Mus musculus: one gene and its partners. The protein of the gene in region 1 purifies or fractionates together with the protein of each later gene. This does not show direct contact. Links are inferred from orthologs where the notes say so. Each region holds a gene or a part of one and is shown in the gene's direction. Other genes may lie near its edges.

Region 1 (3,854 bases):
CCAAAGGGGTTGAGGAATGAGAGAGCTGGGGACATAAAAAGAATGAACAGGACAAATAGGAAATGGACTGGGCTGGTGGCCGACTTGAAGCTGAGACTGGAGATGGTGGTGATGAGAGTTATTGGGAAGGGCTGGGGCTAAATGGATGACCTCAGAAGAGTGCAGGGAACGGAACCAAAGGATGCTAGAGAGCTGACTGCTCTCGGAACCACTCTGAATTGTAAAGGTGATGCTGGCAGGCTTTTGGTCATCCAGTGACCACTGTTTTCAAAGAATAAGTGGCTCTCAGGAGACTGATGGGATGGGGCATTAACGATACAGTTTAAAGGCACAGGTTTGGGAACTAGATTATGGCAGGGGAGATTGGGGGTTGGGGTTAGGGGTTGGAAAAGAAGTAGATCCAGCAGGCGATGACAACACTGGAGGCAGTGGCTCAGGCATAGCGGGGAGGGTTCAGAAGTTGGGCAAGTGTCTGTATTCATTCAAATTAAGTGAATTCACTTAATGTGTTTGGGAGAAAGCAGAGTGGAACAGTGCAGGAGAACCAGAAGCCTGGTGCCACCTCTGTCTCCTTCCTTTCCCTGATGTCATCTCCTCTCTCTGTTCCCAGTAACCACAGCAGATTTTTCTTTTTCTTTTATACCGGGGGCCCATATGCATAAATCTTATTTAATCTTTATCTAACTCTGACATAGACGTTGGTATCAGTCCTAAAGTACAGGTGTGAACCCGAGGACCGAAGAGATCCCGTGGAAATGAGATGTTCAACTTATAGGAGACAGTCCAAGGATTGCTAGAAGCCACGTGCCTTTCAGGACTCCCCTTATTCTTTGCTTGAATCCACAGCCTCCGTGCTCCCTTGGGTAGTACTGAGACCTGTGCTCAGAGCAGAGGATGGAGATCCATTCCTCCACTTGGCCATCCTAGGAGATGCTCTGGGCTTGGAATGAACTTGTAGTGTTCTGGGGGCAAGCCCTCTCCCTTCGTTTCATGTACATAGTCAACATTTCCCCCTTCTTCTATTTATAAAGTGTGGGTCATTTGCCCGAGAACTGTAGCCTCTCAGAGGAGAACCTTAGGTGAGCCTTGGGGTTTGAGCCACTGAAACAGTGAGAATGTTGCCAAGTGACTAGAATGTGGCACCTTTTCTGGGGCGATGACCTGGTAGAGGAGCCTTGCTTGAGTTCACCTCCTGAGCCTTTCCCTGTGTGAGTTTAGACTCAGCTGAGAACCGAGTGACAACTCTTGATCTTTCTCTTGCAGGTTTCCAAGACCTGGGTCACCTCAAGTGCAGACCCTGTTTCAGAGCATGGCGGCTCTACCAGTGCAGTCCGCCTGGCTAACATCTCTGTCCCAGCCTCGGAGTCTCCCCGGCTTTCAAGCCGCCCGAGTTCTCCCTGCCATTCTCAACTTTCAGAAACCCAAAGTCCTGCAGCTTCTGAGGCTTCTTCCATCTGCCTCCCTGTGACTCCAGCCTCCCCCAGTGCAGTCTTGCCTGCTGAGCCTCCCGGCCATTCTCCTAGCTCAGAGTTACCTGCTGAGGCAGCCCCAGAAACCCTCAGCCCCAACAGCTCTCCTGTGGAGACAGTCTCAGGGCACCACAGCCCAGAGCAGCCCCCAGTCCTCTTGCCTCAACTCCTGACTGAGGGGGCTGAGTTGCCGGACATTACACGAACGTTCCCCTGTGGGGAGGAGGCAGCAGCCAGGGGTCACACGGAATCTCGTCCCAGCAGCCTGGCTCAGCGTCGTTTCTCAGAAGGCGTGCTCCAGCCACCTAGCCAGGACCAAGAGAAGCTGGGAGGCTCGCTGGCTACTCTGCCCCAAGGTCAGGGGAGCCAATCTGCTTTAGATCGTCCCTTCGGAAGCGGGACAGAGTCTAATTGGAGCTTGTCACAGTCATTTGAGTGGACCTTTCCCACAAGGCCCTCAGGTCTGGGCGTGTGGCGGCTGGACTCCCCACCTCCATCTCCCATTACAGAAGCCAGTGAGGCCGCAGAGGCTGCTGAAGCTGACAGTTGGGCTGTATCTGGCAGGGGGGAAGGTGTGTCCCAGGTGGGACCAGGAACCCCACCAGCTCCAGAGAGCCCCAGAAAGCCTATTTCTGGGGTTCAGGGAAATGATCCAGGCATATCCCTACCCCAGAGAGATGATGGAGAGAGTCAGCCTCGGTCCCCAGCTCTTCTTCCCTCTACAGTTGAGGGCCCACCTGGAGCACCCTTACTGCAGGCAAAGGAGAACTATGAGGACCAGGAGCCACTAGTGGGGCACGAGTCCCCCATTACTTTGGCTGCAAGGGAGGCGGCCTTACCTGTGCTAGAGCCAGCGCTGGGACAGCAGCAGCCAACACCCTCTGACCAACCCTGCATCCTCTTTGTGGATGTGCCCGATCCTGAGCAGGCATTGTCTACTGAGGAGGACGTGGTGACCCTAGGCTGGGCGGAGACGACCCTGCCCATGACAGAGGCTCAGGAACCCTGTAGTGTGTCTCCTGAGCCTACAGGCCCTGAAAGCAGTTCTCGATGGCTGGATGACCTCCTAGCATCACCACCACCCAACTCGGGCAGTGCGCGGCGGGCAGCTGGAGCTGAGCTAAAGGATAGACAGTCACCAAGCACCTGCTCTGAGGTAAGGTGGACAAAGGGAGGGAGGGATGGGGCATCAGGGGTAGGGTGCAGGTGGGCTTCATTCTTTTAACATGGACACCACAGAGGGCTGTGCACCCACATCTCATTATTTGCAGGTGCTTGCAGAACTGCCTAGGGCTGTGCTTAGGGCTCAGCTGTTAAGTTCCAGTCCTGACACCAGTTTTCGCTAGCTGAGCGGTCTTAGGAGTGAAACGTAATTGTAACCTTTGCCCTTTCATAAAAGTGTCTGCACATGCTGCACACACATACACGGGCCACATCAGCCTCAGGTATCTTTTTTTTTTTTTTAAAGATTTATTATTTATTTTTATGTGGTTAGTACTCTATCTGCACGTACACTCGCATGCCAGAAGAGGGCATCAGATTCCATTACAGAGGGTTGTGGGAATTAACCTCTGGAACTCTGGCAAAGCAGCCAGCTCCCTTAACTGCTGAGCCATCTCTCCAGCCCCCCAGGCATCTTAGTTTTTAAAGACAGGGTCTCACTGTACCTGCAGTTCACCCATTTACCTAGTCTGGCTGGCTGGCGAGCTCCAGAGATCCTCCTGTCTCTGCCTCCCCATCCCATCACAGGGATTAAAGACACGTGCCGAAGTCCTTTGGGTACTGGGGAGCTGAACTTGAGTGCCAGTGCTTGTGCTGTAAGCACCTTCATTACGTAGCCTTCCAGTGAACTGGAGACAGTGCCTCATGCAGTGTACAGCACTGCAAGGAGACAACCTGTTTTCCCTGGGCCTATTATGCAAGGGAGTGTTGTGCGGACTTGGAGGGCCTGGGTTCATCTGCTAGGGTAGGTCTGTTACCTGGGCTCAGTTGGCTCTAACCAGTTCCCTGCCCAGGTGTGAGTCAGATACTTTTCTACCCTCAGCCTCAGTCTCTGTGTCTGTCAAAGGGTGTGATAGGCTGTAGCTCAGAGAGTGAGAGGATTAAATGAGTTAGGGCATGTAAAAGGACCGAGGTTAGTGTTGGGCTCATTATAAATGCTTTGTTAAGTGTTGGCTTTTACAACTGGAATTCCCGTTGAGTCCAGGAGCTGTTTTGTAGACAGGCAGCTGAAGCCCAGAGGAAGTGGTGCCTTGTGCAGAGTTACCCAGCGAGTTAGAGTTACTAGCTGGGTCTAAGCCAGGACCAGTCCAGTCGTCGGCTCCGTGCCCTTTCTCCTACCAGACTGCATTTAAGGGCTGGGATCCAGGTGGCTTTTGAGACATA
Region 2 (4,360 bases), on another chromosome or scaffold:
GACTTGTAGCTCCTGAGGGGTTTGGTCAGACACTGTTCTTTGTTAACTTGCATGCTGTCTCCACGGGTTTGTCTTCAACTGGACACTTTCAGTTCCCGCACATGTCAGCTTCCTCTTCCTGCTCTCTGCAAACGAACACTTTAGTAAGTCACTTAATGATAGTGTTCTTGGACCCAGATAGCTATTTGAGCTCTTTAGGGTCCTCTTACCTGTCATTTACACACAGCTGTCAGATTGACACCGCTGAGCATGTTCGGTTCATGTCGTGACACTGTCCAAATGCCCTCAAGAGCTTCTCACTTTCTAATTATTGAAGTCTTAACTACTAACTAAACTCTTAGTCCTTGGTAAAAACAAAGTGTGGTTTTCAGACGAGTAGCACTCCTCCTTCCTGGGAGCTTGTAAGAAATATAGATTCTCTGGTTTGCTCAGGCCTGCTGAACTAGCAACTCAATTTTATCAACATTTCCAGCTGCTTCCTGTGTCAGCTTTGACTTCAACCTTCCACCCCCCCCCCTTTTCTTTAACTTGAAGCTTCAGTAGTAGAGTTGCCAGATTTAGCAAATAAAAGTAGGAGACATCCAGTAAAATTTGAAAATAATAAATAATGGTTTTAGAATGCTTTAAATCCTTCATGGGACATTTACCTTAAAAATTGGTTGTATGAAATTGAAATTTCTACTGGATGACCTGTAAGTAGTTTGGACAGCCAGTTCATGAGGGTACAGATCCAAGGCTAACTTAACTTTTTTTTCTTTTTTTTTTACTTTCCAGGAGTACAATGCCTTCCCTAACTCAATGTCTAATTAATAGAGGTGAGCTTAAGAGCATTTTCTTTGGGATTTTTGTTTGTTTGGGTTTTTAAATCTACATTTCTTATTCCTAAGAACTAGCAAAATAGTCTTCCTATCATAAAAGACCAATAAATGTTTTTCGGATGAATAAATGAATATATCAAAAGTAATCTTTCAATTATGGACTGGATTGTGTGTGCCTATTTCAATTAAAACAGTATTTTTCCTAATACTTAAAAATGTTTTAAATTGGTACAGCTTTTCACATTTTAGCTGGCAGCGTTCAGGACTTGGTGGGAACAAAGTCATGGGCTCAGAATGTACTCATCGCCAACCGGGTCCATATGGTCATCGTTGACTAGAGAAGGCACCAGACAGAGCAGGATGACAGAAGATAACCATAGCAATCCCACTTTGGAGGCGCTGCGCACGCGCACAGCGGCGCTCAGGCCGGCGCTCAGGGGGAGGGAGGCGGAGCTCCGGGGGCGCGTGCGCGGCGGCCTAGGCTGAGGAGGCGGAGCTCCCAGGCGTGTGCGCAGTGGCTCGGCTCCCGGGAGGCGGAGCTCCGGGGCGCGTGCGCGGCGGCCTGGGCGGCGGGGCCCCTCCCTTGGCGGGGGCGCGCGGCGCGGAAGACCGCTCGGAAAGGGGGAAGTCAGGTGGCCGCTGCTGCCACCAGCGCCACGGTCTGTCGCCAGAAGGAAGATGGCGGATCTGGAGGAGCAGTTGTCCGATGAGGAGAAGGTAGGTGCCGCGGCGGTGAGGAGCCGGGCGGGCGGGAGGGCGGGAGAGGTGAGTGCCGAGGCGCGAGGGCCGGAGTCTGACCCCGGGCGGGCTCCGGTGGTGGGCCGCACGCCTGCGCTTCCCGAGCGGGGTGCTGCCCGGGCTCCCCGAGGCCGGGCCCCTCCGCTCCTTGTAGGGTGTGTGCTCCGAAAATAGGAAGCGGAGCCCGGCGGCCGCGGGCGGGAGCGGGGGCGGCGGGACCCGGCCCTGGGGGTCCGGGCTCGGGAGCGGCCGACGGCGGAGCGGCGCCGCCTGGCCTGGGGCTTTCGCCGTGAGGCGGGCGGGCGGGGAAGACGGCATAGCCGACCCTCACTTTTTCCTGCAGTTTCTCCTCCCCAACGCGAAGTGCTTCCTGGTTCCCCAGGGTGTTTCCTTCCCTCCGGAGGTCGCCGTCTCCACATCCCGCCCCTTCCCCCCCACCCCCCGCCATCTATTTCTTTTATTAATATTGTCATTACCTTTTTTTTTTTTTTAATTGCTGCTCCCATGTTCCCCGGAAGGCAGTATTGTTCACAAAGACACCCCTCCCTCCCATAGTTATTTTCTGCCCAACTTGGCTGCTTCCCCCTCTTGGGGCAGATTTGGTGACATCCCATCTTCCTGATAGGACCAACTCTGAAGAGGGCGAGCGGGTGCAACTCCTTTTACTGTGTGTTAAATGCTGTGACAGCATTAGGACCAAATGCACGACTCAAGTTCTCACATTTGTGATACGAAATCTGATCATTGAACTAAGGCTCTTGCCCATTTTCTTTGGCGACTGAGGAGACCGCGTACCAAGGGGCAAGTAGTGTGAGGGGGAACGCCATACGTTTTGAGTATTTTCTGGAAAAGACCGGGACGTTTTTTTCAAACTTAGACTTAACTGACATATGAGTGTGCTGCCCTTTGGAAATGTCTGATCTTAGCTTGTTTTTAAGTTCCAAATGAAGTACACCCATGTGGGAAACAGAACTCAGTTCTAGTAGGGTGTTAGAGAAACACTAAGGATATTTTCAGTTGGGACCCTCTCCTTTTATACTGCACCAGAATTAGTGTTCTCTTTCTCTTTGGTTGTTCAGAACTCAGCCTCTTTTATGGTTTTGGAAGTGTTCTGGCTTTCTCGTTTGTGCCCTTGGATGAAATGGTGATAACTTAACAAAATGGGGACAAGCATACCTTACTTTAATTCACAGAATTAGACCCTAAGTCGCTAAAAGTTGCTGTACAGTGTTTACATTTGTAGCATTGAATAGTTTAAAGCTATTTATTGAAAATATACCAGCGCATTACAAGAAAAATAGCGTTTCAGATTCAAAGTTCTTGAAGCGATTTTTTTCATGTTTTGTGTACTTTCATATAATTATTAGGAGGAGCTCAATTGGCTTGGAAGATAGTGAGAAGAGAATTGTTAGGGTGGGAATTAATGTAGATTTGCCATGTTGTTGGAAAGGCCCGGAAATTTCAAAATAAAATGAGAAGATTCCTTGACACCCAGTGTGCTGAGTTTTACAGAGTAGTGTATGAGTTCACCTGCTGGCATAACGTTGGAAACAAATTAATGAGAATTTTAAGCTTAGATTTAGCATCTTTTTGTGACATAGGTAGGAATATTCTGTAGTAACTTCACATACAGATTTTTATAACAGTATTTTCTAATTTAAGAGATCAGTGGTTAAACTTTCTAGTGAAATTTAAATAACCAGTAAATGGAAAACAATATTTTGTCACTTTTATTTCCCAGTAGACTTGTACTGTTTTAGGAAGGTGTTCCATATAGATCAGAAATGGATTTAATTGTGATATTTTAGGACCAGTTCTTAAATCATGCTTCTCTATTTTATTTCCTTGCTTGTGATTTTTCAGGAGTAAGTTTTAAATACTTTTTACATTTCAGTTTTGCAGGTCTAAAGAAGGGGAGGTACTACAATGTATAATAGTGTAGTTTATATGTATTTATCATGTAAGAAAAATGTTCTATTTTCTTTTTTAACTTAAGTTTGAGGTAGATAGTTTTATTATCCTTTACCTGTAAGTAAATTAAGGTTTTAAAGGCCTTATATAGGAGGGAAATGGCAGAGGTGAAATTTAAACCTAAGTTTATCAGAATTCAAGGTTTGCTTGTATACTTAATGCCATTATGTTCCCTTGAAGTTGATTATAGGACTATCCTGGGGTTATATATTGGTTTTCAATTTGCTTATTTTTAAAAAGAAAGCAATGGTTCTTTATAGTATCAGGTTCTAAGTTTGTTTTTTATACTTAGTGAAAAGGCTAACTGGTAACCTTGTGTTTTCACCATTTTTAACTAGTTTATTTTTATGTAATGTGAACATTGTGTGCTACTGCTATATAGTTTCTTACTGCCCCTGTGGAATGAGGCATTTTAGAAATTAATCATAGCTGGGTGTGGCAGAGCAGATTTGTAATCTAAGTACTGAGGAAACTGGGACTGGAGGATCTCTAGTTCTGAGGCCACCTTACAGAAAGTAACAACAAAAAGAGATTAGCTGGGTGTTGGTGCATACCTGTAATCCCCAGTACCCTGGAGGCTGGTCAGGAGGAACGTGTTTCAGCTTAGCTTGGTCTTCTGAGTTCTTTTGAGACAGGGAGACCCTGTCTCAAAAACAAACAAAAGGGGGAAAGTATCTAGGACACTAGACTGAATGTACTGTGATTTTTATGGCTTAGTTTCTTTTGGCCACAGTGTTAATAAGGAAGTAAAGTTAGCTGAAGAAACAATGAATGAAGTCCCTTAAAGGCATTAACTTGCCCTATGACCCTGTAAATTTTACATATAGAAACTC
Region 3 (3,854 bases), on another chromosome or scaffold:
CAACTTGGTTGTGTGATTTGGGAGAAGTTGGTAATTAAGATCTTTAAGAATGACACTATTGTCATAGTGTATATTACTAGACAAAACCAAGGCTTACCACGTCTAGAGGAAGAATGACTAGTAGATTTTTAAATTGTCGCTTATTTTTGTGCCATTGCAATTCAGATCTGAAAATATATGAAGACATAGTATTGGCTTTGAGGGAAGAAATTTAACAAATTAACAAAGACAATTTTTGTAATTTATATAAAACATTTCCATTTGTGTACAGGAAAATTCTCTAACATAACTCAAGAACCTCTCAACTTGTCTTTTTTAGCTCCTCGGTGAGTTGGAAAAAGATCCCAAACTTGTTTATCACATTGGCCTTACTCCAGCGAAACTTCCAGATCTAGTGGAGAACAACCCTTTAGTCGCTATAGAAATGCTGCTGAAACTGATGCAGTCAAGCCAGATCACGGAGTATTTCTCTGTCCTGGTCAACATGGACATGTCCTTACATTCAATGGAAGTTGTAAATCGGTAAGTTCTCATGTCCCACCAGAGCGGGTACACAGGCCCTGATTATATGATCCAGAAGTCTGAAAAGCTGGAGTAGTTTCTCTCCCCTTTCCTGATTCTGTTACCCTGACTAATCTTTGCTGTTCACTGCATATGAATTTGATTTCAATTCATAAGAACTCAGTTGTTGAATTTACTTCACTGTCACGTGCCCCTTACAAATTCAGGTTTTATGTTCCTTGGCAGCCAGGAGTTGCAGCTTGTGCGTGTGGGTCTCAGAACTGGTCATCTAGGCATGCTGTCGTGATTACTAGTATTCTCCCGGCTTTGTTGTTCTGTAGAGCCCTGACTGTCCTAGAACTCACTGTGTAGACCAGGCTGTCCTCAAACTCATGGAGATCCACCTGCTTCTGACTCCCAAGTGCTGGGATCAAAGATGTGGACCAGCACACCCAGTTTCCCAGTTCTTTCTTGATTTTGCTCATTAAACATCAAGGAAAGAATGAATTCCCTGTTGATGTGTTCTGTATAGTTTTTGTCTTTTATTTTCCTTACAGATATTGTTTAGGTAAATTGTGAATTAAATGTAGTGAGAGGTAGATGGGGTATTATTTTTTTTGAGGTTTTTTTTTTTTTTTTTTTGGATAGGATCTCATAGTATCCTAGTAGCTTCAAATTCATAGCAGCCTGTCTGCCTCATTCTCTGAATGCTGGAATCATGGGTATGAACCAGGTTACAATTTTTTGAGCATCCATATATAAGTTGGCAGTTGTTTCAAACTTGAACTAAGGAATGTCTGGTCATCTGGTGACAGCTTGGCTGGTAGCTCTGTGCACAAGAAAGGGCTGGGCGAGGAAAGGCACATGGGTTTCCAGTTACTTTGTAAGACTCTGTCACTGGCAGAGCTGCCTGGCTTCTTGTGGAAAACTTGGTGCTTGCTTCCACCTCTCCTTGCTGGCACCTCCTTTACTATAGTTGCAGTTGCTGGTTTTTTTGTGTTTTGTTTTTGAGACAGGGTTTCTCTGTATAGCTCTGGCTGTCCTGGAACTCACTCTGTAGACCAGGCTGGCCTCGAACTCAGAAATCCACCTGCCTCTGCCTCCCAAGTGCTGGGATTAAAGGCGTGCGCGCCACCATCGCCTGGCACAGTTGCTGTTTTTTGCATTGGCTAAGTTCTGTCTTTGGATGGAGCAATCTGAGTGTTCATGGATCCCCCTCACTGCACTCTTGTAGTTCTGGCTTTTTCCAAGTATTAAGCAGCCTTGCTGATGCAGGTCTCAGTGGGTATGGTGGCTGGTTGTAGCTTTCTTTTCTGTTTGTTTGTTTGTTTTGGTTTTTCGAGACAGGGTTTCTCTATATAATCCTGGCTGTCCTGGAACTCACTTTGTAGACCAGGCTGGCCTCGAACTCAGAAATCTGCCTGCCTCTGCCTCCCGAGTGCTGGGATTTGGTTGAAGCTTTCTTATATTTTTGGTTGTGAGCCTAGCCTTTAACGGCTGAGCCATCTCTCCAGCCCAGTTGTAGCTTTTCTTAAGGTACTTCAGTGCCTTAGTTTAAGGATGCATAGATGTAGAAGAGGCAGCATGTATTCATTTACCTTTTCACACTTGTAGCAAAAGGTTTGCAGTTGCCAGCCCAGTGTTGAAATGCTTCTTGGGCTGAACTTAAACTCAGTGTGGAATTCTTACCTGACTCCATATCTTAGTACTTCACTTACGTGTTTGGGAAGAACTGTCTTGGCTTCAATGACTCTAAGCTTTATTACACAGCTGCTGTTCCTGTGTAATGGCTGACTCCAAGCCTGTTTGTCTTGCTCAGTTCTCAGGAAGGCCTTTTTGCTCCATATCAGCTAAGTAACTTTTCAAGGCTTTTTGCCAGGTTCATGTTTCTTCAAAGCTCTACGTTAGTCTGATTATAGGTTGTTCTGTTTAGTCTATACGTCACCTCAGACACGCTGCCTCTCATAGTGCTTAAACTGACAGGACTTTTCTAAGTTTTAAGTGATGGCAACAACTGCTGGTTATTTGAGGCTTGGAAGGAGGGAGACCATGATTGACAGTGATCCAGCCAGGCACGCTCAGGGATAGGATACTAACTGCTTAATGGATCATCTCAGAGTATAATTCGTGATGCACACTTAACAGAAGCATCAGAGGTTAAGTGCCTGTGGCTCTTGGGTTTAAAACTAGAGAATTGGGTCATATAAATCATTATCAGATGATCACAGGGAAGGCTTGACTTCATGATTACAGTACTTTCCAATACTAGCAAACACAGTTAACAGCTCAGATTTTTCTTTTGTGAAACAGACTAACTACAGCTGTTGACCTACCTCCTGAATTTATTCACCTATACATATCCAATTGCATTTCTACTTGTGAACAGATTAAGGATAAATATATGCAGGTGAGTAATGTAAATGCTTATAACATTGTCATTTGCCAAGAAAAGAAGTTTCTAAAACTTGTTCCTTTTTTCTTTTCCAGAATCGTTTGGTGCGTCTTGTGTGTGTGTTTCTCCAGTCTTTGATCCGTAACAAAATTATTAACGTGCAGGACTTGTTTATAGAAGTGCAGGCCTTCTGCATTGAATTTAGTAGGATACGGGAAGCTGCAGGCCTATTCCGGTTGCTGAAGACACTGGATACTGGGGAAACGCCTTCAGAGACCAAAATATCAAAATAATACCTCACTAGAACTTCCCTTTCTATTGTTCAACTGTATTTGGATTGGTTTTTAAACTTGTAACTCTTGAGTGGATTGCTTGATCTAAGAAATATAAATGACTTTATTTACTTAAAGTAAAATTTCCTTTTTCCTAGATGTTTCCCATGGATGAATTTTGGTGAGAACTTGGGAGAAATGTTTATTTTAGCTCTCTTGCTGATGACAATCCATATGAATAGTTATTCTGAAAATAGTTATTGCAAGAAAGGTGTAGGTGTTGCTCTTTTGAATTTAAAACACAGTACCTGTTTCTTTTAGAAAACAAACTGTAGGTTTCTGAAAAACCAGGAATTTGCTTTCGTAGCTTCTAGTGTGAAGCATGGTCAGTGAGAGTGAGTGAAGACGCTGAGAATTTACGGTGAGCGTGGCTCTTAGTAAGCAAGGTGTGAAACAAGGATGCACATTTCTGACAACAGTGTTCCTGGCCCACTGACAAGCATGGGCACTCTGCCAGGCTGCGAGAGTTGGCATTTTATTCTTCTCTCTTAACCACAGTTAGTAAGGGTGTGGTTTTTGTGGTCTTAAGGACAAATACGAGCTGGCACACCAGAAATGTATACCCAGGATGCCTGTTTGGTGAGGAGGTAGAAGAGTCAGTACCTGGGACAGTGTGCCTTAATTTTTTT
Region 4 (4,622 bases), on another chromosome or scaffold:
CAGTGACAGCAATGTTTAAATTTTGACAAAAATGTGTTTTTAAGTTAATATACGTAAGAAGAGTAATGAATTAGAATATTTAATGTTACTTAATGTGATAATGCTACTACATACACATTAAGGGCTCCCAATAACGAGCAGCCAGATTAAGGTGCTCTGCATTGCATGCATTCACGCACATGAGCTGCACACGCCTAGAGTAGCCAGTCTTTGAACACACTACCTTATGGCAGTAGATGCTAACTTGAGAGGAAGAGAAAGCAGACGAGACAGGAAGGCACGGTTGGGGGAGGGGCCATGTAGGACTGTGTTGTTCCTTCTTGAATTTCCCTAAAGTGAAAAACCAACAAAACACAAAACGGTGAAAAGGAGTATTTAATGAAATGAACAACCTAGCAAAATAAACCTTTTTTTTCTACTGGCTACACCAGTTCCTGTCCGCATTTAAACAAATTTGCATATCTGCTGATACTGCATATCTGCTATGTCAAATTACTTTCAAAACCATGACAAAGGTACTTTTAATTTCACCGTAGGCTATTGTATCCTATTTCTTGCCTTTAGCTTTCTATGATAAAAATATATATCGCTTCCGTTTATCACAGAATCTATATCTAACTATATAGACTGGCGGGCTGGAAGGAGGTAATTTATTAAACTACAGCAGAAACTTTATTTACTTCAAATGAGTAGTAATCCGCATTAGTAAGCTCTACCACTCAAACATGAACAGCGATACGTTATGAAACTCGCAACTTCAAAGCACAAAGAGGCTTTTTAGCAAGTTAAGTAACCGTAAAACACGAAGTTTGTGGATGTTCAAAGGTGTAAACTAAGAGTATTACAGCAATAAAAAGTAATTTCACTTTCAGGGACAGTCCGGCTTTGGAGAGCAAAACACTTTAGTTCCCAACCACAGCCACCGTATTTTCAAAAGGTCTAGTGGATGAGCCAGCTGGTCACTAAGGTTTACCAAGGGCGCGCCGGGCGGGAACTAAATAAAGTGCCACAAACACCGTTCGGTTAGATTAAGTACTCCCGGCAGTGCTTTAAAAACACGCTTCCCCCTTACTTCCTCTCACCAGGTTTAGACCGGGGGGGGGGGGGGCAGGTAAAAAAAAGGGGAGCATGAAAAGGAAGAGGGGGCGGCGATCAAACGCCTAGGTTCCAGCGGAGGGGAACTCACTGCTCGGGAGGTGCGGGCGGCGTGCGGCGGGTGTCTGGGGGAGCGCACCCAGGTAGCGCAGGCAGCGGGGCGGTGGGAGGACCGAAGCACCGCAGGCACCGCACCGCACCGCGCCGCGCAGCAGGCTGGGGACAGCCCGGGGACAGCCCGCAGGAGGTGCTCGGGGGCGGGGTGTCCGAGGAAAACACAAACACAAACACGCTGCGCGTCCCCCGGTGGGCGGACCCACGCCACCCTCGGCTTCTCCCCGCCCCCGAGGCCGCGCTCGCCCGCTCGCTCGGACCCCAGGCCGCAGCTCCAGGCGTGGCCGCAGCAGCTCCCGGCGTGGCGGCGGTCTGGCTTCGGGAGCCCGGAGAGGCCGCCCAGGCCCCACTCTCCTCGGTCACCGCCACAAGACAGCGCCGCACCTTCCGCGGGAGGCGGCGGAAGCCCGGGAAGGCTCCAGGCGAGCGTTGTGCTTCTCACGGTCGACTGGCGTACGGGCGGCGTTCCGTCCATTCGGCGAGCCTCGCTCGCTCGCCGGCTTCTGCTGCTGCAGCCGCCGTCGCCGCCGCCTTCGAGCGGAGTCGGAGCGACGGGGGTCACGGCGGGGGTCAGAGGGTAAAGGTCTTGCTCCCAGCAGCCTCCGCGGTGGATACGTCGCCATCTTGGATCCGCGGGACAAGAAAATTCATGCGGTGAGTTTTTGGCCAATTTTCGGAAGTCTGGCGGCGGGGCACGCGGCGGGGGAGGCGGATTGGGGGCCCCCTCAAGGCGGGGGAATGCCTCGGGGCTGGTCCGGTCGCGCCCGGGGTCCGCGGGTAGCGTCCCGGCCCGCCGCTTCCCGTTGCTTTTGTCTCGGCTCCAATCGAGAGAGGGAAGAGCGGAGCGGGCGGGCGGGCGGGCGGGGAGGGGGTGGCGGCGCTGGAGGAGGGAGGGGGTGTGTGGCGGGGTGGACGGGACGTAAAGCGTCGCCGTGCTCGGGCCGCCACCGCCGCCACCACCGCAGCTACCGCAGCCGCAGCCGCTCCGGAGCTTAGGCCCGGGCCCCCGCTGCCCGCCGCGGGGCTTCCCCGGCTCCCGCCGGCGCGGAGCAGCCGCTGCCGCCGTGCTGCTTCCTGGGCTAGGAGAGAAGGCAGCGGCGGCGGTGGCGGCGGCAGCAGCATCCAGGAGCCCCGGCCACTGGACACGGCTCCTGCCTGCCACGTTCCCAGCAGCTGCTGGTCCTTGAAGCTTTACGTTTCTGGCCATACACGCGCATCCTCCGCCACTTGTGTGGTTTTCTTTTCTTTCTTTCTTTTTTTTTTTTTATTTGTTTGTTTGTGTAAGATGGGGACATCGCACTGGCTAACGGGCCTCGGGAGCCTCCAGGCCCTGAGCTATACCGAAGGGGCCTTTCTTGCAAGGTGGAAAGGCGAGAGAGAAACTCAGATGCTGCTTCTGCCCCCGTGCCTGGAGTGGGAAGCCTCTCTAGTGGTGTAGCCTCTTGAGTTCCGATGGTCCTGGGGCGGCGGAGGAGGAACCCGAGCCACTCTTGTGAAGTTGCAAGCCCTGGTTTCTACTTCCGCCGGGCCCCCTCTACCTTTTGCCGTTTTGTTTTAGGTCTTCACTTCAAAGTTTCATAGAAGAAATAAGTTGGGTTAAAAGAAACCCGGTAGTTCTTAATTGAGGTACTGTTTGCTTAGGAGAAAAGCTTATAATTCTTGTTATCTGTAGGCCCTTCGGGAAATCTAATTGTAATTTTATTTTTGTAAAATTATTTCTAAGGTTTTGTTATTTGCATTTACGTTAGATCCAATCAGTACGCTTTTACCTCCAAAAGAAAATAAAAATAAATAAATCTTACACATAGGTACTTTCTTGGAAATCCTAGGGGGACATCTCCACTTTTCAACATCTGGGAAGACAAGTGTTAAGAGTGTTTTGCTTCATTTTCATTAAATCCTTAGTCAAAGATTTCTCTTTAATCATCTGGACAGTTCCTAATAAAATACAGCAATATGATCCTTAGATTATTGGCAAATGGTAGAACGTTAACCAGATCTGTTCACAAGGGACACACTTAATGTTCAAAACTGAATACATTTTCTATTACTCTCTATAGTGAGAAGTTTTAGGGAGATGGAATCGTGTTCCTATAGATTTCCCTTTCCAAATAAGTGGGTGGTAACTTTCACAACAGTTTTATGTTTGGGAATGCTTTGTATATTCAACAACAGTTCCTTCTCAGAAGTCACCTTTGTAGTTTTGTAAGGTAATTTTATTCCAAGTTGGAAGTGTTTAAAAATCCAGTACACTGAAATGGTTGTCTACATTCAAATATTTGTCTGTGTTCAGGTTTTGTGTCTTTAATATGTTTTCTAAATGGTCCCTTGTGCTCTGCCTATCCAGTCTGTTGTCATCTTAAAGCTAAAGGAAAAGTTCAAAATGCACAGACAACTTCTTCCACTTTTCACTTTTGCTGACTTTGCAAGATCCTTAATTTTAAAGTGAAACCTTTTCATTTTTAAAAAAGTGCCTGTTTTTGTTTTTAACTCTAGACCAGAAATAAAGACTGTATTTGACTTTTATTTTTTTATTTTTTGCATTCCTATTAATGCTTTATTGACACACATAAGGTAGTGCATGTGTTGGCAGAGCACTTTGGTTCTCAGATGCAGTCTAGAGATACCTGTAACCTTACCAGATGCTCCAGGCTGAGAGTGGCCTGCACATTAACGTATCAGTAAATACAGCCTTTCTAAAGTGCTTACAAATAAATGGTGTATGGTGGAAAATGAAGCAGATTGATGTCTGTGAGTGGTTTATAGCCTAGCCATCTGAGAACTATTTGATTTGAAAATGAAATCAAACTCCAAATAATAGGCTCCCTAAAATAATAATTACCTTTAATTTCCCTATATAAAGGTAGGTGCTTTTTGGTTTTTCAGAGATGCCTTAGGTTTATTTAAAACTTCAAAAATAAATATTTTATACTGCTGGCAAGTTAGAAATACTAGTAATCGTGTTCTGCTTGTTTCTTTTCTCCTCTTTCTTTCTTTCTTTCTCTCTCTCTCTCTCTCTCTCTCTCTCTCTCTCTCTCTCTCTCTCTTTCTTTCTTTCTTTCTTTCTTTCTTTCGTTTTGTTTTTTCCAGACAGGGTTTCTCTGTTTAGCCCTGGCTGTCTTGGAACTCACTCTGTAGACCAGGCTGGCCTGGAACTCAGAAATCCGCCTGCCTCTGCCTCCCAAGTGCTGGGATTAAAAGTGTGACGCCCGGCAGTCTGCTTGTTTTTAAGTAGGTGCTAATATTAGCAAAACTTAAACTTTAATGGATCATTATAGAATTTTTTTACACGACATGGGATAGTATAGGTTTTTTTTTTTTAATGGCCAAATTTGCTTGATTAGAAAATTTGATTTTTGTATCTAACTAGAGTATGAGTAGATAGTAGTAAACCAGTAAAAATAAGTATACAA
Region 5 (3,854 bases), on another chromosome or scaffold:
TAGGAAATTGGCTGTTAATATATTTATGTCTTTGATTTTTAAAATAGTCTACATATTTAAAAATTCTTAGCCGGGCATGGTGGCGCATGCCTTTAATCCCAGCACTTGGGAGGCAGAGGCAGGCAGATTTCTGAGCTCGAGGCCAGCCTGGTCTACAGAGTGAGTTCCAGGACAGCCAGGACTACACAAAGAAACCCTGTCTCGAAAAACCAAAAAAAAAAAAAAAAAAAAAAATCTTCTTTCTGGTAATATTAGGTGGGTTCCCCACCACCACCAACCCATAGGAAAAAAGAGTGCCATTGACTTGACATGTAGGTTCCAGAGCAGTGCAGAGGAAGTCTAACAAAAATAGCAGAGACATTAATTTAGAATTAGCCTAAGTTACTCAAGGAATCTGCTGCTTAGGAGATAGGAACACGAAAAGGATTTCATTTAGTACATTTTTGGACCATGTAGCTGTATTACTTAAGTGCTCACAATAATACAATGGCCCTGAAAAATTTTATAAAATATGTAAAAATGAATACATGAGAATTGGTGTGCTAGTATAAATATATATACATGGATAATACATTAGCTAGAAATCAAGATATAAAGGGTATTGTTGGGAGGAAGAAAACATTGTTTTATTTTTATGAGAATAAAAATGATACGTGCTTTAAAAGTCATTGTGGAAAAGAAATTAAAAGTTAATTTTCTTAGGATATTATTTCTTTTTGCAAAACATAAGAATTGTCTTTTTTATAGAACTACTTATATTTGTAATTCTTCTCTGGAAGGTCTTAATTACAGAGCATGGTGACCTTGGTAACAGCAGATTTTTAGATCCAAGAAACCAAATTTCCTTTAAGTTTGATCATTTACGGAAAGAAGCAAGTGACCCGCAGCCAGAGGATGTGGATGGAGGCTTGAAGTCTTGGAGGGAGTCGTGTGACAGTGCTCTGAGAGCCTATGTGAAAGATCATTATTCCAACGGCTTCTGTACTGTTAAGTATCTGCCTGTCCCTCGGAGAACAGATTAAAGTTACTTTTCTTACGCTTACCTTACCCTTTTGAACCTTTGCCCCACCAGACTTTACTTCTTTTCTCTTGGTTATTGTCATCTCCTTATTTTATTCCTTAAATAATTTCTAAATTTTTGAAATTTCTTTCTTAAAGATTTGCTTTTATTGTTTTTTAATTAAGTATGAGTGGAGGGAGGGATTGCATGTAAGCCCAGGTGCCCCTGGAGGTTAGAGACATTTGTTCCCTGAACATGCACTTACAGATGTTTAAGCCGCCTGACATGGATTCCAGGGTTTAAATCCAGGGCCTCTGCTAAAGTAGTATATGCTCCTAATTACTGAGCAGTTTCTCCAGCCCTAGAAAATTTGTTTTTAAAATCTCAGTGTATAACACTTTAAAATATCCATATATTACATTTTATATTTCTCTTATTTACTCACAATAAATCACCTCTACCCATCAAAAAGTTATTAAAACCAGGTTTGATAATATACTTGTAATCTTAAAACATTTGGAAAGTAGGGGCAGGGGCATCAGGAGTTCAAGGCTGTTGTCCACTCTACAAAAGTTAGAGGGTAGCCTGGACTATGAGGCATCTACTGAGAGTGCGGAGTGGGTGGTGGGATTTATAGTTGATTGTATCATGCTTAGCTTACTGGGTTTTTAGCTTTTTGTTTTTGTTTTTTGTTTTTTGATGTTTATTTGTTTGTGGGTTTTTTTTTTTTGTTTTTGTTTTTTAAAGTAAAGACAGAACCTAGAGACTGGCACATGCTAGGCAAATATTCTGCCGCTTAGCTGTATCCCCAATTGTCATTATAGTTTGAAACAGGATCACTAAGTTGCCCAGGCTCTCCTTGAAACTTATTCTGTAGTCTAGGTTGACAATGACTCTTTAGTCTGTCTGTCTAAGAAGCCCCAAGATGCTGGGAACCCAGACTTGCACCAGGCCTGCCTGCATTTTTTTTTTAATTAAGATTTATTTATTTATTACATGTCAGTACACTGTAGCTGTCTTCAGACACTCCAGAAGAGGGAGTCAGATCTTGTTACAGATGGTTGTGAGCCACCATATGGTTGCTGGGATTTGAACTCCGGACCTTTGGAAGAGCAGTCAGTGCTCTTACCCACTGAGCCATCTCACCAGCCCCCTGCCTGCATTTTTAACTTTGTAGCTAGTAAATAAAATTGTATCTTTATAGGATGCATAACATGATGTTTTGAAATATACCTTGTGGTATAACCAAGTTGAGTGTAGAAACTTGGAACATATTAACTTTCCCCCTGGGTGGGTGGGTGGATGGGTGGGTGGTTGGTTGGTTGGTTGGTTGGTTGGTTGGTTGGTTGGTTGGTTGGTTTAGATGGGGCCTCAGTCTATAACCTAGTCTGGCCTTGAACTTGAGATGATCCTCCTTCCTAAGACTATATACTGTGTCCTGGTGTTTCAGGCTTCATTCACCACACCTGACCTGTGTGTCTGTGTGTCTGTGTGTCTGTGTCTGTGTACAGTCTACTCTCAGCAGTCTTCAAATATACAGTACATAGTTACTAGTTAGACTTTTAAATCTGTAGAGAAGACAAATATAATAGGGATATAGCTAGTTAAGATCACTATGAATTCTTGAGTGGTTTAAATCCTAAACCAGTCACTTAACTAGTTGTGTGGCCTTTGGTATAAATTACCTAGCATCTCTGTGCTTCAGTTTCCTCATTTATATAATAAAACAGTGTATTGTGAGGATTCAGTAAGTTAATGAAAGATGTTAGGACCGTGTCTGGCACAATGTAATCTATACATAAGTGAAAGGTGCCATTATTCTTACATGTTTTATCTTTTCTAAATAATAGAGGAAACACATCATTGTAGCTAAGTACAGATTTCCTTTTTAAACATTTTTCAGGAAAGGAGACAATACATTCTCTCTTGGAAATCAGCTGGCCAATCTAAAGACACTTTCAATTTACCATTATTTCAATTCAAAGTTTATCCTCATTTTTATTTGTCTCTTTTTTGAGACGGGGCCTTACTATGCAGCTTTAACTGGGCTGGAACTCACTATGTAGACTGATCTCAAATTCAGAGATCTTGCCTGCCTCTGCCTCCTGAAGGCTGGGATTAAAGGTTTGTACCACTCTGCCTGAGAGCTCAGTACCTAAGAATCCTATTGAGACAGACCTTTTTTTCTATTTTTTTTTCTTTTTAGTTACATGAGCTACAGAAGGTGATAGAATTGCCCCAGTGCAGCCTACAGTATCCTAGTAACCTGCATCCTTAGCATCCTTAGAAGCCTCTGATTTTCTCTTACTCTGTGTCACGTTTTCTGTACAACATGTTCCAGACATTTTCTATTATCAGATGAGCATCTAACCTCTTACATCTAATTAGAATTGAGACTGACTGAAATTTTATTCTTGTTTTTCCATACTTAGAAACCTTATTCTTCCTTCCATTATACCTTTTTTTTTTTTTTTTTTTGGTTATTTTATTTGTTTATATTACAAATGTTAACTCCCTTCCCCGTTTCCCCTCTGCAAGCCCCCTATCCCACCCCCTTCTCTTTCTATTATACTTGCATCTGAAGCAGAAGGATCCTTCTTCTTGGTTTTATACTGTCCTCTATCTTCAGGGTGGCTTCGTGTACTTTATTTTCTATTCTGGTGTATTCCCTATTACTTAGGCATAAGCTCTTGTATTTGATTTTAAAACAGTCTCGTGTTGGCTTCCTTCCATCTTCCTGTCTCTATTTCCCAGGTGCTAGGATTAAAAGCATGTACCATCATGCTGGAATTAGAAATAGTTCTATCACCTTTAAAGGGAAGTGAAGCTGTGTCAATCACATGAATTCTGTAAA
Region 6 (3,854 bases), on another chromosome or scaffold:
GAATTTATTCTGATATCTTTCCTACAGGATGTTTCAAGAGAAAGCATGATGTTTGAAAGTGATGACTGTGGCTCCTCTCTGTTTTTAGATGCTTCAATTCTTAATTTTGTCATTTAGTTCCTGACAGTCTGGGAACTAAACTGACCTTTGAAATTGATTTCCAGAGAATAAGCTACAAAAATACATCTGATGAAAATCAAACATTAATTTTGGTTTTGTTAGTTTTATTGAAGTCTTTTATAGAAATTTTCTTTTGCTGATGGTAGAAACCAATGTTAAGGTTTTTTAAAAAGTAAATAAAAATAAGTGATAAATCCACAAGATACTTTTTCATGAATCTTCAACTTTTTAATATAATACTTAATGTATTTGTGCTTAGAAACTATAGGTGGCTTTTTGTGTGGTTTAAGTAAAAGTTTGAAGAGCTGGTTTATAGTGTGCTTCCTGGCTTGGTTTAAGGTAGTCGTCTAGGATTGTATTTGCCTCTAATGTAGGTATGTGATTGCTGAAGAAGAAATGATGTCATAACTGAGTCTTTATCTGAACAGTTCACTGCTTAACTAGAGCCGCTGAAAGGCTCCTCATTTGTGAGAGGAGGCATCTCCTTTTTCTTTAAGATGGAATGTAGTTTAACTCAGCCACAAGAGATGTTGGCCACTTGGTGTCTCCTTCCTGGTTCTGCTGAGAGCATGAGAGGTGTGCATAACCCCTCATGGCTGTGGTTACAGCTCCATCTGGCAGCACTAAAATAGCTGCAGAGACTGAAAAGAACATGTCTGTGGTAGCCTCTGGTGAGTAAAAGACCCTTTTTAAGCCCAGTGAAATGTATGTAATGTTTAGAAGCTGATGAAATTGAGTTGGTGTTAAGGGTGAACTCACCATTGGACTTTTTGAATGATTATTTACTTTTTGGATACCTCATATTTTATTTTTCTTGATCATTGTGAAGCATTTGAATGGTTGGACATAAACCAATCCTCTGTCTTGTTTCTGCATTGTAGTTGTAGGCATAAGTGGAGAACAACTGTTTAATGGGAATTTTGAACTTTCGTTTTCTTTCTCCTGCCAGGGAGGACATGTATGCTCAGGACTCTATAGAGCTACTAACAACATCTGGTATCCAGTTTAAAAAACACGAGGAGGAAGGAATTGAGACCCAATATTTTGCAGAACTTCTTATGACTTCAGGAGTGGTTCTTTGTGAAGGGGTCAAATGGCTATCATTTCACAGGTAAAAAATAAATAAATAAATAAATAAATAAATAAATAAATAAATAAATAAATAAATAAATAAATAAATAAATAAATAAATAAGGGGTTGCAGTGTGCTTCTGTCCCATCTGCCTTTTACGTCTGTCTGGGTTACTGTGTCAGCAGTGTTGTGCTTAGCTCTAGAAGGAATTAGCTGCCGTGAGTCTGTCTAGTACCTCACTGAGAACAGTGCTGTGGATCTTTTAACAAAACCAAAACCACACATACCTGCTCTTGGGTGCGTGTACCAAAGATCTTCTATGGTAAAACTTCTCCTCCTTCAAATTACAAGTAAAATAATAAACATCAAATAAAAGTTGATTTTGTTTGTCCTCCAAAAGATAGGCTCAGTAAGGTCATTTGCCAAATAATGAGTTTAAATTATAGGTAAGAAAAAGATACTTTATAGCTATAATTCCTCTCCTTTAACCCAGTGGAGGAAACTCATGAACCTAAAGGTCAGCACCAGCAAACGCTTGTTGTACGGAGATGTCTGGGGTTGGGCTTCAGGGAAGGCTGGCACAGGCCCTTCACAGGAGGACTTCAGGAGGGGAAGGAGTTAGGCCGCTGTGGGAAGACTCGTGATAAAGGATGTGTGACGTCAGTTTGAGGGAGCAGGGGGTTGTATTGTATAAAAAACCAGTTCTTACTTTTCCTTAGTTCCTGTCACATTTAACTTTTCCATTGACAACTGTCTCGGAGAGTTATACTGACATAGAAACATTTGAGGAAATGTACATCTTAATTAAGTCACTTAGTGGAAATGAAATACTCTGTTAGGGATTTATTCTTCGAAATTGGAAAGTGTCACCATCTCATGTAAATGGTGACAAGGTTTTACATGATTTTTGCCTTTGGCATGTTAAGTCTTGCTGGTTTATTACATTTTCACATACCTTCCCATTCACTGTGGCAGTGACCTTACTGAACCTATCTTTTGGGGTGTGCACTTGCATGTCTGTGTGGTTGACATAAAACACTCAGCTTTTACTTGGGTATTGGGGGTCAAAAATACTCATGTTTGAACATCATCTCTCCAGCTTACATATCAGAAAAATGTTATTTTAGTGACTGTAGAGTTAAATTTATACTATCATGTGTTCAAGATGCTGAGTGATCAGTTTCTGCACTGTAGTTATGGACGTGTTTCTTTTCATTGTTCCTGTGTGTACGTTATTGTTAATCCTTTTGCCTATAGTATGACTTGTTTAACTTTCTATCTGAAAAACTAATTTCTTTCATTGTATGGTATTAATGTATTTTTTTCTGAATTATTTTAATCTTTTTATTAGTGGTTATGACTTTGGCTATTTAATCAAAATTCTGACCAACTCTAACTTGCCTGAGGAAGAACTTGATTTCTTTGAGATCCTTCGGTTATTTTTTCCTGTCATTTATGATGTGAAGTACCTCATGAAGAGCTGCAAAAATCTCAAAGTAAGGCTTCAGATGACTTTATCCGGAACTAGCACATTAGTTAGCCCAATGAGTCTCAACCTGGAAGTTGAACAACCCTTTCACAGGGATCAATTATGACCATTGGAAAACACAAATATTTATATTATGATTCATAACAGAAAAATCATAGTTAAGAAGCGATAAAAATAGTTTTATGGTTGGGGTTCACCACAACAAAGCTGTATTAAAGGATGCAGCATTAGGAAGGTTGAGAAGCACAATTTAGACCAAGTAATTTCTATAATATCTTAGGCCTGAATGTTTTAAACCATGTTTTAGAAGTTATGTTAAGCCGGGCAGTGGTGGTGCATGCCTTTAATCCCAGCACTTAGGAGGCAGAGGCAGTCAGATTTCTGAGTTCAAGGCTGGCCCGGTCTACAGAATAAGTTCCAGGACAGCCAGGGCTACACAGAAAAACCCTGTCTCCAAAAAAAAGAAAAAAGTTAGTTAAATTATCTGATCCTATTCTTAATAAACAATCTCTCTTCAAAGCTGCGGTATTTATCTTAACAGGATAAGGTTTGTTTTGGTTTTGTGTTTTCCTTGGTTGGATTTTTGTCTTGTTGTAGATACTTTAAATTGTATTTTATGTATGTGGGTATTTTACTTGCATGTGTATATGCACTAAATGTGTGCCTGCTGTCTGAGGAGGTTAGAAGAGGGCATCCCATCTCCTAGATTATAGTTATGGATGGTTGTGAACCACCATGCTGTGTTGGGGCTGAGCCTGTGTCCTCTGCAAAAACAGCAAGTGCTCTTACCTGCTGAGCTATCTTTCCAACCAAGTTATCTTACCTGCTGAGCCATTTTTCCAGCCCAGAATAATGTTGATATATTAATTGCATTAAATATATTTAAGAGGGCTGGTGAGATGGCTCAGTGGGTAAGAGCACCCGACTGCTCTTCCGAAGGTCCAGAGTTCAAATCCCAGCAACCACATGGTGGCTCACAACCATCCGTAATAAGATCTGACTCCCTCTTCTGGTGTGTCTGAAGACAGCTACAGTGTACTTACATATAATAATAAAATAAATCTTTTAAAAATATATATATATTTAAGATACACACACTCTCACTCACTTCTGTGGAAGTTTACAGCAAGAGGTAGCAGAGGCTAAAAGAGAGAGTGTCAGACCCTCTGGAAC
Region 7 (3,854 bases), on another chromosome or scaffold:
TACTGGATGCAGTTGAGGTATGGCAAGCTGTTTATCACCTTGAAGCTTCTTCAGAAACCTCCTATGACTTAAGATAGGGCGAGGATAAAGGCCTTCAGGGTCCCACGCCAGCAGATGCAGGTTCCAGAAAGCCTCTGCCTTTCTGCCTCTCTAGTTACTGTACAGGCTGAGCATGAGAGTAGAGCTGGAGAGGCCATCAGTTGCTGGGATTTGAAGGAAGGCTTCCACAGAGATTCATCCTTTTCTCTTCATCACTCCGACTTTGTAGACAGAACTGAGGTACTGAGGTCTCTAGCTACAGGATCTCAGGGCTGCTCAGAAGTAGCAGTCGATGCCTTCAATGTTATCTCTGACCACTGTGCTACCTTCCTATCTGGGATGGTGACAATGCCCCATGGCACTCATTCCTTCTGTTCCCCTGCACTACTGTGAAACCTAAAGACCCCACATCACTAGGGAGAAAGCCAGGAACCGTAGCAATGGTATGGATGATAACATGAGGTGCCTGGGGTATGAAGTTCCTTTTCTTTTCTCTTTTCTCTTCTCTTCTCTTCTCTTCTCTTCTCTTCTCTTCTCTTCTCTTCTCTTCTCTTCTCTTCTCTTCTCTTCTCTTCTCTTCTCTTCTCTTCTCTTCTCTTCTCTTCTCTCCTCTCCTCTCCTCTCCTCTCCTCTCCTCTCCTCTCCTCTCCTCTCCTCTCCTCTTCTCTTCTTTTTATTAGATAATTTCTTTATTTACATTTCAAATGTTATCCCTTTTCCTGGTTTCCACTCCGAAAACCCCCTATCCCCTCCCCCACTCACCAACCCTCCCACTCCCGCTTCCTGGTCCTGCCATCCCCCTACACTGGAGCATAGAGCCCTCACAGGACCAAGGGCCTCTCCTCCCACTGATGACTGACAAGGCCATCCTTTGCTACATATGTGGCTGGAGCCACAGGTCCCTCCATGTCGACTTTAACAAACTGCATATTTGTTGTGGGTGGGGCTCGTGTCTTACATCATTCATGGGCAACAGCAGTGACAGATGTTTACCAGAAACAGGGGTAGCCCTGACTCATACACTTGTCTCCCCCAGCCTATCACCACAGGAGGTGTTACTTACCGGGAGCAGCCCTGGCACAAGGAATGCTTTGTGTGCACAGCCTGCAAGAAGCAGCTATCTGGGCAACGCTTCACAGCACGGGATGAGTTTCCATACTGCCTGACCTGCTTCTGTGACTTGTACGCTAAGAAATGTGCTGGGTGCACCAACCCCATTAGTGGTAAGTGTCCTGGGAAGGCCATTGCCAGGGTAGAGACTGTCTGCTTCCTGGAACAACATGGACGTCTAGAGTGTTAGCATAAGAGTGTTGTTAATATCTTGAGGCTCTGAGCCCAACAAGCATTTTTGCCTCTGCTGTGTATCCTCAGAACACAGCTGGTGGCTTCCCCTTAAGCCTGGTGATGCAGAACCATTGGCATGTCATTGAGTGTTTCTGCTTGGGTCTGAGTCTATTATAGTCACATGAACAAAATGAATGGTGCATTTCAGCCCCAACAGCAGACCTGGTATTTGAAGTATTCATGTCATCTTAACGAGACTCTTCTAACCACAAACCACAGCTAGGTGGGGACACATTCTGAGTAGCACAGTCCCCAAAGAGTTAGACAAAGTGAGAGCCCAAAATGTGCCTGGTTGACAGACTAGTATTTGGGCTGAGCTATTGAGTATGGTGAAGATATTGAAGGTAAAGACTACTGGCTCCAGACTAAAGCCCTTTGATTTTTCACCATGTACCAATCAGTGGCAGGGGGTGAGAGTGCAAGTATTCTGTCATATATAGGAGTGTTTCTTGAAGTGGTCTTTCCAATCCCATTCATTCAGTCTACCTGTTTTTGTTTGTTCTTCGTTGCTCTGATAAACACCATGATTAAAAGCAACATGTGAAGGAAAGGATTTCTTTTGTCTTACTGTTTATACTCCATCATGAAGACAAAAGGGGCAGGAACCTGGAGGCAGGAATCCAAGCAGAGCCATAGAGGAGTGCTGCTTACTGGCTTGCTCTTCATGTCTTGCTCAACATGCTTGTTTGTATAGCCCAGGACCACTGTCTGGGGTCACACTCTCCACATTGGGCTTGCCCCTCCCATGTCAATCATTAATCAAGAAAATGCCTGACAGACTACTTGGCTACTGGAAGAGGTTCCCTCTTCCCAGACAATTCTAGGTTGTATAGAGTTGACAAAAAGCTAACCAGCCCACATTGCATCATCCCTGATGCACTGTCAGTAGACATATGTGGCAGGAAGCAGAGAGACACAGACTTTCCCCTATAGCTTTGTAGGTAGGGTCTTTCTTTATACAGACACGCTTGCAGACCATTGTGTACCTTGCCTAGAACCAAGTTGTCTTGTTCCTATGGGACTTCCCAGCTGGCAGGCCTTGGTTCATGCTTTATTTGCATGTAAAATTAAAATATACAAAATAGATAAATTTTGTTGAGACATCTGATTCTAGCGACTTAGATACTGTATTTCCTTTGAAATTAGTTTGGGAGGACAATGGGACATTTTCAGTGGCCTGCCCATCTTTGAAGCTGTTTTCCTAGCTTCTGCTAAGGAAATGTCTCCAACACTTTATAATTTATGGAAACGTAGTATGAATGTGAAGTACTTTATATTAGACATGGATGTCTGCTGCAGTTATAGAATTTGGGGAAAAGGTTAGAAGAACCAGAATTCTTCCTTTAAAACAGCAGAATTAATGCTCTGAAAAGCAATGATTGATTTTCAAGAACATATAGAAGAACTTTGAAACTGCAAACTAGAATGTACTCTTAGCTGTATTTCCAAACACTTATACATACCGAGCTTCGATGAGGTTTCTAATAGATCCTTAGTACTTTTTCTCTTCAACACAATTTATACTGCTTTTACGAATAATTGGAAAACACTAATTTAAAATTTTCTATGTGCAGTGATGCTTACTTCTCATCCATAATTGACCACAGTATCGATCCATATAGGTATGCAACTTTAAATCAATACCCAGGTTGCTGGTAGTGACCCACAGATGTGCACAAAGCAGCAGTGGGTTTGAGTTCCCACGCATCTATGCTCTGGCTGACACTGGATAGATGAAGCTCTGCCCCTGTGTTCTAGCTCCCTTCTTCCTTTGTAGCCCTAGCTGTGCTGGGACTCACTCTGTAGTCCAGGCTGGTCTCGAACTCACAGAGATACCCTTCCTTCTGCCTCCTCAGTGCTGGGATTAAAGGCATGCACCACCACTGCCTGGCCTCTAGCTCCCTGCTTAAATAATGTGTCCCACAATGATGTGGGGATTGTTTTTGTCTTTTACATTTTTTGTGACTGGGGGGGCAGGGCATTTCCATGTAGTGCCCTTGAGTATAAGAAGGCAATGTGTCTTAACAGAGGAAACACGTTAGAGAAGGTGTTGACCAGTTTTAATGTCAGTGATTTTAAATTAAATTAAAATGTCTAATATTCAGAGAGAGGCATGCATAGAGTAACATCTTTGGTCATTTGAAACATAATAGAAGATTTTAGAAACCTGCTCTTTCTTAAAAGCAGTAGTTCAGTATTTGCTAATTCAGTCTTGTTAGGGACATTATAGGATATAAAACTTAAAAATAAAGATTGAATATATATATACTATGTATATAGTAAATTATATATGAAGAATCCTAATTTTATATATATATATAGTTTTGTTTGGCTCCTTTTTCCACCTCTTGTTGCATATGCTGGCCTTTCAGGGCAAAAGAAGAGTCTTGAAGGAGATACTCCCTTCCCCCATGACGTTCACATTTTTCTACACACACACACACACACACACACACACACACACACACGCC

Evidence for each region.
Region 2: the proteins of Tnks1bp1 (region 1) and Capza2 purify together in Homo sapiens (affinity purification with mass spectrometry; 4 studies listed by BioGRID and IntAct, counting the BioPlex papers as one, with this or other methods). This does not show direct contact. The link is inferred for Mus musculus from reciprocal best matches to the Homo sapiens genes TNKS1BP1 and CAPZA2.
Region 3: the proteins of Tnks1bp1 (region 1) and Cnot11 purify together in Homo sapiens (affinity purification with mass spectrometry; 5 studies listed by BioGRID and IntAct, counting the BioPlex papers as one, with this or other methods). This does not show direct contact. The link is inferred for Mus musculus from reciprocal best matches to the Homo sapiens genes TNKS1BP1 and CNOT11.
Region 4: the proteins of Tnks1bp1 (region 1) and Cnot2 purify together in Homo sapiens (affinity purification with mass spectrometry; 5 studies listed by BioGRID and IntAct, with this or other methods). This does not show direct contact. The link is inferred for Mus musculus from reciprocal best matches to the Homo sapiens genes TNKS1BP1 and CNOT2.
Region 5: the proteins of Tnks1bp1 (region 1) and Capza1 purify together in Homo sapiens (affinity purification with mass spectrometry; 3 studies listed by BioGRID and IntAct, with this or other methods). This does not show direct contact. The link is inferred for Mus musculus from reciprocal best matches to the Homo sapiens genes TNKS1BP1 and CAPZA1.
Region 6: the proteins of Tnks1bp1 (region 1) and Cnot7 purify together in Homo sapiens (affinity purification with mass spectrometry; 4 studies listed by BioGRID and IntAct, counting the BioPlex papers as one, with this or other methods). This does not show direct contact. The link is inferred for Mus musculus from reciprocal best matches to the Homo sapiens genes TNKS1BP1 and CNOT7.
Region 7: the proteins of Tnks1bp1 (region 1) and Fhl2 purify together in Homo sapiens (affinity purification with mass spectrometry; 3 studies listed by BioGRID and IntAct, with this or other methods). This does not show direct contact. The link is inferred for Mus musculus from reciprocal best matches to the Homo sapiens genes TNKS1BP1 and FHL2.

The regions. Positions count from the first base shown.
Region 1 is NC_000068.7:85,056,863-85,060,716, forward strand, and holds part of Tnks1bp1 (182 kDa tankyrase-1-binding protein), read left to right. Parts: intron 1-1,263; coding exon 1,264-2,625; intron 2,626-2,647; exon of another isoform or gene 2,648-3,854.
Region 2 is NC_000072.6:17,635,626-17,639,985, forward strand, and holds the start of Capza2 (F-actin-capping protein subunit alpha-2), read left to right. Parts: upstream 1-1,384; 5' UTR 1,385-1,496; coding exon 1,497-1,535; intron 1,536-4,360. UniProt on the Homo sapiens protein: F-actin-capping proteins bind in a Ca(2+)-independent manner to the fast growing ends of actin filaments (barbed end) thereby blocking the exchange of subunits at these ends.
Region 3 is NC_000067.6:39,542,081-39,545,934, forward strand, and holds part of Cnot11 (CCR4-NOT transcription complex subunit 11), read left to right. Parts: intron 1-319; coding exon 320-522; intron 523-2,811; coding exon 2,812-2,908; intron 2,909-2,988; coding exon 2,989-3,186; 3' UTR 3,187-3,854. UniProt on the Homo sapiens protein: Component of the CCR4-NOT complex which is one of the major cellular mRNA deadenylases and is linked to various cellular processes including bulk mRNA degradation, miRNA-mediated repression, translational repression during translational initiation and general transcription regulation.
Region 4 is NC_000076.6:116,578,694-116,583,315, reverse strand, and holds the start of Cnot2 (CCR4-NOT transcription complex subunit 2), read left to right. Parts: upstream 1-1,804; 5' UTR 1,805-1,858; coding exon of another isoform or gene 1,859-1,863; intron 1,864-2,111; exon of another isoform or gene 2,112-2,835; intron 2,836-4,622. UniProt on the Homo sapiens protein: Component of the CCR4-NOT complex which is one of the major cellular mRNA deadenylases and is linked to various cellular processes including bulk mRNA degradation, miRNA-mediated repression, translational repression during translational initiation and general transcription regulation.
Region 5 is NC_000069.6:104,836,914-104,840,767, reverse strand, and holds part of Capza1 (F-actin-capping protein subunit alpha-1), read left to right. Parts: intron 1-779; coding exon 780-986; intron 987-3,854. UniProt on the Homo sapiens protein: F-actin-capping proteins bind in a Ca(2+)-independent manner to the fast growing ends of actin filaments (barbed end) thereby blocking the exchange of subunits at these ends.
Region 6 is NC_000074.6:40,498,129-40,501,982, reverse strand, and holds part of Cnot7 (CCR4-NOT transcription complex subunit 7), read left to right. Parts: exon of another isoform or gene 1-791; intron 792-1,069; coding exon 1,070-1,231; intron 1,232-2,543; coding exon 2,544-2,688; intron 2,689-3,854. UniProt on the Homo sapiens protein: Has 3'-5' poly(A) exoribonuclease activity for synthetic poly(A) RNA substrate. Its function seems to be partially redundant with that of CNOT8.
Region 7 is NC_000067.6:43,125,652-43,129,505, reverse strand, and holds part of Fhl2 (four and a half LIM domains protein 2), read left to right. Parts: intron 1-1,075; coding exon 1,076-1,262; intron 1,263-3,854. UniProt on the Homo sapiens protein: May function as a molecular transmitter linking various signaling pathways to transcriptional regulation. Negatively regulates the transcriptional repressor E4F1 and may function in cell growth.